Linked DNA regions of Arabidopsis thaliana. The protein of the gene in region 1 interacts with the protein of each later gene in a pairwise test. Each region holds a gene or a part of one and is shown on either strand. Other genes may lie near its edges. The genes, in order: PGRL1B and PGR5.

Evidence for each region.
Region 2: the proteins of PGRL1B (region 1) and PGR5 interact in a two-hybrid assay, tested with the Arabidopsis thaliana proteins (one study listed by BioGRID).

What each region holds. Positions count from the first base shown.
Region 1 is NC_003075.7:7,174,294-7,180,104, forward strand, and holds PGRL1B (PGR5-like B), read right to left. Parts: upstream 3,596-5,811; 5' UTR 3,417-3,595; coding exon 3,251-3,416; intron 2,881-3,250; coding exon of another isoform or gene 2,835-2,880; intron 2,753-2,834; coding exon 2,640-2,752; intron 2,553-2,639; coding exon 2,456-2,552; intron 2,368-2,455; coding exon 2,267-2,367; intron 2,163-2,266; coding exon 2,106-2,162; intron 1,980-2,105; coding exon 1,903-1,979; intron 1,802-1,902; coding exon 1,750-1,801; intron 1,644-1,749; coding exon 1,533-1,643; intron 1,300-1,532; coding exon 1,202-1,299; intron 1,117-1,201; coding exon 1,047-1,116; 3' UTR 1,033-1,046; intron 945-1,032; 3' UTR 593-944; downstream 1-592. UniProt on the Arabidopsis thaliana protein: Ferredoxin-plastoquinone reductase involved in cyclic electron flow (CEF) around photosystem I. The homodimer is probably not involved in CEF.
Region 2 is NC_003071.7:2,079,844-2,083,507, reverse strand, and holds PGR5 (proton gradient regulation 5), read left to right. Parts: upstream 1-1,648; 5' UTR 1,649-1,820; coding exon 1,821-2,117; intron 2,118-2,199; coding exon 2,200-2,304; 3' UTR 2,305-2,861; downstream 2,862-3,664. Other genes in the region: ATG8D (Ubiquitin-like superfamily protein), read left to right, coding at 1-96, 200-297. UniProt on the Arabidopsis thaliana protein: Critical for growth under fluctuating-light conditions. Involved in the regulation of the cyclic electron flow (CEF) around Photosystem I. Essential for the reduction of PGRL1A by ferredoxin and for photoprotection.

The DNA.
Region 1 (5,811 bases):
GAAGTAGTTAGGTTTTGCAGAGAGAAGTGATCAAGAAGAAAGAGAGAGAGAAGTATATTGATTGTGTTTTACTTTGTTGGCATGTGTTTTGGGGACAGACATGATCAGTATATAGTATATACTATGTATCTTTTATTAATCCTTAAGACATAATAATGAATAAGCATGACCGATGTTTTATAATGCTTAGAATACTATCCTACTTTCTTCTAGCCTCGTGACATTTTACTTTATACACACTTTGTAGTCTTGTAAATTGCTTATATTCTTTCGATCCTAAAATGATACATTTAGAAATGTCTAAACGGTGAGAAAAAAAAGGAAGGTAAATGATGATATAGAGGGCATGGGACGACGACGATGTCATCATCATCATTGCACCTTTTTCTTATTAAAAAGATAGAATTTGGCATGCTATAATATTTGTATGACTTTTTCCTTTGTAATAATCCTTAACTCTTATTACATGTTCCCCACTTTTATCTATCTATCAGCTTCTTAATAGAAATCATACTAAAATGAACTATAGAATCACAAAAGTCAAAAAGTCTTGGACTGGCCTTGACTAGCACCTATAAATGATTTAGAACATCATATTTGATTTTCACATGGATTAACGAAACTATATTATGGAACACATTCAAAATTATAACAACAAAAAAAATACAAGTATTATTTCAAAACTACACAAGGTTGTGCTTATTTCTTGAATTATTTTACTTTCCTAATGAGAGCAAAGTTTCTCAAAGAAGTAATCATATGATGTTTTTCTTTGAATGTGCCTCACACTTACTTACAAACACAACACAAGCCAATGAGAGCTACATGAAAAGATCTGAAGATTATACAAAACAGCATACAAACTTTGGTTTTTCTCCTTCTTCTTCAATTTCTCCACCTTCTTCATTTGTTAGTATTAATTTTACATACACTTCTACATAACCCTGAGAAAAAGAAAACCCTAAAATTTTGAATTTTCCATTGAATCAAGAAAGATTTCATCAGAAATCAAAGTTGAGATAAGAATTAAACCTTGGCTCTTAGATTTAAGCTTTCCCTCCTTCTGGTAATGTGATCAAACGAGAACCTGAGTCATAGACCATCTCCGTTCCACAGCTAAAAACCAGAAGAATCATAAGACTTCAAGAAACGTTGTAGACAATTTGTGTGATCGATTCGAGTCTACAGCTGAGAAGCTTACCCTGAGCATTTGACATTGTTGGTGTTACTATCATTGGGGATGGATAGTATCGTTCCAAAGAAAGATACATTCTCTGTTCCACAGTTTGGGCAAGGGCCCTGTGAAAGATATGTTCCACGAAAATTAAAAGCATTTCATAATAATCGCATAAAACTCGTAGGATTTGGCACTATACCAATCCAAATTTGTAGCGTTTAGCACAAAATAGATTATTATCTCAAGTCTAATCTCTTGTTTAAGCATTTTTGATACTGAGAAAACAAGATTTAGTTCTATAACTTTTATTTTTCCACTTCATGAACTGATCTTGGAAGATGATTAATGTTTTTACCTTCAAGATCAAGAAGTCTTTGAGGATCAGTTTGGTGAGTGATAACGCCAGATATACAATTGCAGGCACCGCAGCGAACCATGTGAAAATGAAACTGAATGGTTCCGGAAGCTGCAGATTTTTGTTTTTGTTTTTTAATCAGTTGCATGAATACTGGAACAATTACTACGAGTATATATTCTCCAAACCATAGTAGAATAGTCGAAAGAGGTTTTACCTCGAGCAGGTACGTGATTTCAAAACCAGTAATGTCATCAAGAAAGAAAAATCTGGAGAACAATTGAAGAAAACAACAATTTTAAACTAACTAACATAAGCTAAGATCATGTGATTTGAAAGTTGAGAGAGGAACAGAACCGGAGGTACTCACAGTCCGAGAGCAACAACAGTTGCTGGTACATTCAACAAGAACATTTTGAAGTAATCAATGGCAAGATCACTATAAACCTGCATAATCAAGGAGGTCCACAAGTCTATAACATCTCTAGAGTTTGTCCCAAACAATGAATCTAATGTTATGTTCTGTAATGTCCAAAGAATATATGAGCTATCCGAACAATTAAGAGTTTTTACCTTTTTACTACGAAGACTGCATCTTGGACCCTCACACACAATCTCACTGCCGTCCATCTACAGAAACCAAAGAAACAATCATAACGTTTGTCCAAATTACACATGTAACAAGATGGATGAAACTAAGAAATAGTATTTGTAAGTATAAATAGATTAAGAACCTTTAGTTTCATTTTGAGCTTATCATACTCTTCATCACTCAAGATTGGATTTCCAGAGACATAAGCCATTGAAGCTTCAAGGAATCTTTGTTCATCAGAACCTACAATACATAGATAAAATTAGATCAAGAATCAAGAACCTAGGCGAATGGATTATTGACAAAACTATAAATCATAAGTGTTCATTACTTAGCATGACAACACTGCTTCCTTCCCACATCAACTCTTCTTTAAGGTTATCAAACTCTTCATTAGACATAATCGCTTTGCCTTCGTAATAAAACGACTGCAAAAGAAAAGAAACAGAAACAATCCTCGATTATATAGAGATAAACCCATACTAATGATAAAAACACTTTATTTGATGTGTTACTTGCATCGCTTGGAGGAACTCTTGTTCCATTTCACCGATAGTTCTCTTCTCATTCTTGTTGATGCTACAATAAGGTAAAATCTTGCTATCAACTTCTTCCCCACCCACCTGACCTGAAGACAAGTCATAAAAATGATTTTAAGAAGTAAGGAAACTCTCAAGGAGCAATCTTTTAGTGGATTAGAGTATAAAAACTAAAAATCCACAGAGGAAAAAAGTTCCATATAACAACTTTTCTTAACTAGAATTAAAGCTTGAGTGATTTTATTCTATGATTGAATAAAATCAAAACTTTCTCAAAAGCCACTGTGTTCCCAAACAATGATCAGAGACAAAATCAAAGCTACAATACAACAGCTTTTCTCAACTAAATTTGAAGATTGAGTGCTTTTTTGTTTCGATCACATAACGATGAGTTAATAACTTAAGAACCTTAAGCTACACACAAATTTTAATCCTAAAAAGGCTACAAATTGGAAATCATTTATCTAATTATCTTCTATGATCATAAAAATCTCAACTTTTCACACCAATTTCGTTCCCAAAGAAAGATCAGAGGCAAAAACAAATAAAAAAATCGAAACTTTAAAGAGGCAAATAAAAATCGAGACCTGATTGATCAGTAGAAGCTTTAAGGGGCAATAAGGTAAGTCTTCGTCTGAGAGAAATCGATCGTCCATGGGTAAAGGGAGCAGGACACTGTGTCCTCGAAGAAGAACAAGTGATGGGTTTGCGAGAAATTGCAGAAAATCTAGGGATTGTTAGAGTAAAAGCCATCGTCTTTATCCCTCACGCCGATGATTGAGTGAGATCGTTGTTTTCTCTTGTCCGGGACGAAGAACAAAAAAAAAAGTTAGAAGCTTTGGATTTGTGTGGTTGAGAATTGAGATGGTGATGTTTTTTACTGTGTGAGATAGTTTCAGGTTCCTTCTGATTTTTTTGTTTTGTTTTGTTTCAACGTGTAATTGGAGGGAAAATTAGGAGGAGATAAGCGAAGTTGGATCGTCTAGCGTTCCACGTCATGATTTTGAAAAAAATAAGAATAAAATCTTGAATTTTGGTAAATTACCAAAAACAAATATTGTATTATAATATTTAGATATTATTAGTCACAAATAAAATGAATTCTTTATATAATTTTTTTTACGTAGAATTGAAATAAACGAAAAAAAAAAACTCTAACTCAAATCATAACAAAAATATGTACAATCATTTTTAGTTTATTATTTTATCATCTCAACGGACAACGGTAAAGAAAAATAAGGGTTTTGATTTGTGGGAGTCAAGATAGTAAACTCATTATAATAGATAAATTGTACATATGCATCATCATGTGGTGAATCACCTATTGGTATAAATAATTAAGAAACCATAAACATATTTCATGATATTGCACGAAAGCAAAACCAACAAACACATTGTACTCTTTTGAAAACATATTTTGTATGTAAGACTTAATTTATTTATAAGTTCTCTTAAGGAACTAATTGCGATAAAAAAATTTGAATTTTAATAATTTATAAGAGAATTTTGTTGTAATATATATATATATATATATATATATATATATATATGTTTGAAAAAATGAAAAAGAATCTTGAGTTTTAGTAATTTGCAAGAAAAAGTTGTAATATAATATTTATTAGTCAACAAAAAAATATTTATTTACAAACAATTATGAATCGGACTTGTGACTCAAACCATAGACAAAAACAATCATTGTGATGCTGGTTGTCCATAAGTTAAAACACAATGAATCTATCATGAAATAAATTGTCATTGGTGGTTTGTAAACCACTAACAAATCGATAGAAAATGTTTATAACATTGTCGGATATGCTCTCATTAGATATTATAAATGAAAATTGTGGATAGTTGTACTTCACAAAGCCACTACATCCGGGGTCATTTCATCATTTACTCAAGAAGATGTTTTTATCTTCGGAAACCAGACACTTCGAAGATAAAGACTTGAGAGAGGCGTATTATGATGTATGGTTCGCTGGTTTAATGTTGGTTTAATATTTGGTTAACTTTGATTAAGTGAGCTTAAGTTCAAATATATATAAGCTTAATGATACACAGTTCTAACTAACGCTTGTAACAATATTTTGTTGAGATAAATAAAGTTTGTTAGCTTTTTTGTTCAATCTTCTCTCTACTTTTCGATACACGGGTGTCCCATGTAAATAACCAAATAAATTTTTAAGTTTATAATGCACAAATAATTCACAAAATTTATGTCATAGAATTACTTTGAATCGAAAAAAATATATATATGAAAGTTGGTTAACTCTCTCCATATGAATGTCACATTATCATACAAGAAAATTACATGTGTTTTTATATTATTCAATAAAAATTTTAGCAAAATTAAGTTAAGAAAATCAAAAGTCCTCCACATCATTAAATCTTCCATCAATACTATTAACTTATTTCTTCAAAAAAATTGAAAAATACAAAATCATGCTAATGTATAACTCAATTATAATTACAACTATTATATCAATATATCTTATATTGTTATTCTATGTATTTATGATAGCAAAAAAAAGATTAAGATCTTATGTATATAGATAATTATATTACACATGAAAAATATATACTTGATATTTTACGTCAAAAGATGAATCAAAGCATAAAAATTGTAACTATATAAGATGAATCTAAATATTTATGTAACTACACAAACTAGCAACAAAGAACATACAACATATTTTTAACAATTTTCAAAACAACAACTCATGCATAGCATGATTATTCATCTACTAACATTAATAGTTTGTCAGAATAGACTAACATTTTTTTTTTACTTTAAATGGACTAATCAACATAAATCTCCCCAAATCTTGGATGTACTCGATGAATTTGAGATTTTATTTGGTGAACTAACCAAATATAAAATGCTTTTATATCTTTTTTTATCTTTTAATTTGGTTAGAGTTTACTTTGAACTCTTTGCTTTTCTATTTTATTTTCAAAGTTTTTTTTCTCCTATCTTGGTTAATTATTATTTTTGTTTCTATAATATAATAAAACCAAATGAATTGTGGACTGAGTATTATACAACCCCTTCAATATGTACTATTTTGATTGGATAGCTTAAATTTTCAAAGATTTTAAGTTTTTAGGCACCCAAAGTATATATTTTGTTTAGTACAAATTTAACTTC
Region 2 (3,664 bases), on another chromosome or scaffold:
CTGTTGGCCAGTTTGTTTATGTTGTACGGAAGCGGATCAAGCTCAGTCCCGAGAAAGCCATCTTCATTTTTGTCAAGAACATTCTACCACCAACTGGTTAGTTTCAAACACGTTCCTTAATCATATACTTTTCCAGTTCAAGGAATCATATCTTTTTCTCAGTTGAGCTAATAGTAGTAGTGTTATCCTTTTATTGCAGCGGCAATAATGTCTGCAATTTATGAAGAGCACAAAGACGAAGACGGGTTTCTATACATGAGTTACAGTGGTGAGAACACGTTCGGGATCTTCTTCTAATGCGCTTGGAATATGTGGATGCATCAGATTATCAATGTACAGTCTGTCTATTTCTCTGCTTGTCTCTAGTTTTCATGACATTGGACGAAGCTTTTGAAACTTGCATGCTATGTTATTAACATGATAAGGTCTTCCGTTCATGGTGTTAATTTGGCTTTATGCTACACTTAATTTCAAACTTAGTCGCTATATATAGTTGAGGTCACTTGGTGTCCTCCTTGAATATTGGCCCGGCCTATTTCACTAGTCGTTGAACCGTTACGATTTCTATCTTCTCAAAGTTAGCTCGACCGTCAAATCTCTAAGCTCTTGCAATCTCTGCTTCTAAGGAACACAAAACAGAGATAACTTTAGCTATAAATATTTAGATTTCAAAAGCAACTTGATTTAGGTAAATTTGTGCACACTCTAGAATAGATTATCATCTGTTACAGATTATTACTGTACAATCCAGCAAAAACTAGGCCTGGGATTTCGGATTAACCCAATGACCGAACTGAACAAACCGTTTTTTTGGTTCTGATAACCGACTATGAAGGGAAGGCTAAACCGATCGGCGAAATTATAATTGAAGTTCGGTTCTCGGTTCGGCAGACATAACCGATCAGTTTTCTCGGTTAATAGATACTATAAATATAAAGATAAAAACATTAGATCTAATCTTTTTAGCTTCTTCTCCGTTTCCTTTTGATCCTCATCCATGGCTATTTAGTCAATTCTCTCTATCTGCATGTGGTTTTCACTATGGTAGCACGTCGGGGCATATTTCGTTACGGAGATATCGTCATCCCTCGCTATCACCGTCACCGTCACAGACGTAGATCTGCTGATTATGAAGAGGGTAGCGGCACCAAGATACCATCAACCCTAATTTTTAATAGGTTTGGATTTTTAGTTATTTTGGGTTTAAGTTTGTTTTTCGTTTTGGCCCAATTATTGGTTTGTAATTATAAAATTTTGTTTATCTTCGCCCATTCTATAATTTTTGTTTTGACCCATTATCTTGATTTTGGACTTATTCGGTATAAACTAACCGAACTAAAAAAAAAATCGGTTTAGTTCAGAGTTGATTTTGAATCCTATAACCAAACCGACCCGAACCAAATCTTTATTCGGTTTAATTTGACAAAATTTTAAAGAACCGAAAAAACCGATTAAACCAAACCGAACCGATTACCCGAATAAACCGAATGCCCAGGCCAAAAACAACTGAAAATAAAAAATAAAAAATGAGATAGGAGAATATTTAATCCGACGGTGGAGAAATGTTGATATAATAAAACGTGATACAGAGGATCATAAACCCGCAACATGAGAAACGTAATAAGTTAAGTCAAAAAAACGAAAAAGCCAGAATCATATTTGTGGCTCTGGTTTCTCCATCCAAACAAAAACAACACCCAAACCTTGTCCACACCAAAATGTTAAACTCAAAATCCAACCACACACACACAATTTCTCTTCCTCTCTACCATTAACATCGATCAGAAAGACCGAGAGAGAGAGGGAGAAGCTGATTGATTATGGCTGCTGCTTCGATTTCTGCAATAGGATGTAATCAAACTTTGATAGGAACTTCCTTCTATGGAGGATGGGGAAGTTCCATCTCCGGAGAAGATTACCAAACCATGCTCTCCAAGACAGTTGCGCCACCGCAACAAGCCAGAGTCTCAAGGAAAGCAATCAGAGCAGTTCCAATGATGAAGAATGTCAATGAAGGCAAAGGCTTATTTGCACCTCTAGTTGTTGTCACACGCAACCTAGTAGGCAAGAAGAGGTTTAATCAGCTCAGAGGAAAAGCCATTGCCTTACACTCTCAGGTTTGCTTGTCTTATAATCATTCTCTTAAGAACTAGTCAAAGAAGCAAAGTTTTGTGGAACTGGGTTCTTTTGTTCTTTCAGGTGATCACTGAGTTTTGCAAATCGATTGGAGCAGATGCAAAACAGAGACAAGGGCTTATCAGGCTTGCTAAGAAGAATGGAGAGAGGCTTGGTTTCCTTGCTTAGGTCTTAAAAAGAACAAATCTTTCTCTCTGCTTGTGTCTGATATATACACTCACAACTCCTCTTGTTGTTCTTGTCTAGATGTATTTTGTCCAAACCTATAATCTTGATTTTTGTTACATTGCCTTTGAGGGTTACTCAAACACACATAACTGCTGCCATTCTCATCTGAAAAGTTGTTCAATAAGGTCTTAGCTGAACTAGTTTTCTCAGTCACATAGAGATACAAAATATGTAATATTGCCACTCTTTCAACAGATTAAAAAGCCTAATCATAACTCTCAAACAATTAAGGGATTGAAAAAGACTGTAAGTTTTGCTTTCTATTGAAGCATCCCTAAGATCGGAGAGGTATTGAGAGCTGCAGTTTTTTAACACCGTGAGCTTACACTGATTACTTCAAGACCCAAGTAAGATTGCATAATATGTCAATAAAGTTGTCATCGTGGAAACTTGATATATATGGAACTTTACCTAGACATTCTTTAACACAAACTCTGTTTCTGCTAGCTAAGCATTCGTTCCCAAAGGTTTCCAGGAGGTTGACTTGTTGCCAGTTGCCTTAACCTTGATTAGGTTGAAAATTTGGGTACGAGTAATGTTACAGAACCACACGTGGGAGGTCACACGTGCGAAATCAAATGGAAGAAGGAATTAATAAGAGGCTGACGCGTGTCGACTGAGGAGTGGCAGACTCAAACATGCCGTTAGGCCCTTCTATATGAGCAATATTCAGCTCATCTTTCTCTTTTATCAATTAATCTGTAAAATCTAGAATCTCTGAGAACTTTTCTAAGCTAGATATCTCACATCGAGACTAGCAGATCCTTGGGTGTTTTATGAACATCGATTGCTCATTGTAATCAGGGATTTATTCTTAATCGGAATTGATTTTACAGTGAACCGGAAAGTTATTTGTATCAAAGGTATCAAAGCTCTGTCTTTCCTTGGAGTCATGGTTCATACACGTTTTCATGATGAGTCGAAGGAGAAGGGAAAAGAGGTGGAAGGTTTGGATCCGATGGAGGAGAGGATGGCGAGGCTGGAGGCGATGATGGAAGCTCATAGCAAAGCGACGATGAAGAATCTGGCTGATATGATGACTGCGATGAGCAGATCTACAGCTCAGAAACAGCCGGATGAGCAGTCCAGTGGTGAGCGGAGTCTACCTCGATCATCAACTTCAACGGATGATAGAGTGGTTTTTCAGGATGTCCGATGAGAAAATCGACCAGAGCAGGATCAACGACGAGACAATCGTCACGAACAGGATCAGCGAAGGGAAAATCGTCATGATCAGGTTCGATTTGAAAACCCAAACAATTATGGTAACTTGACGCGTTTGGGTAAGATTGATTTGCCT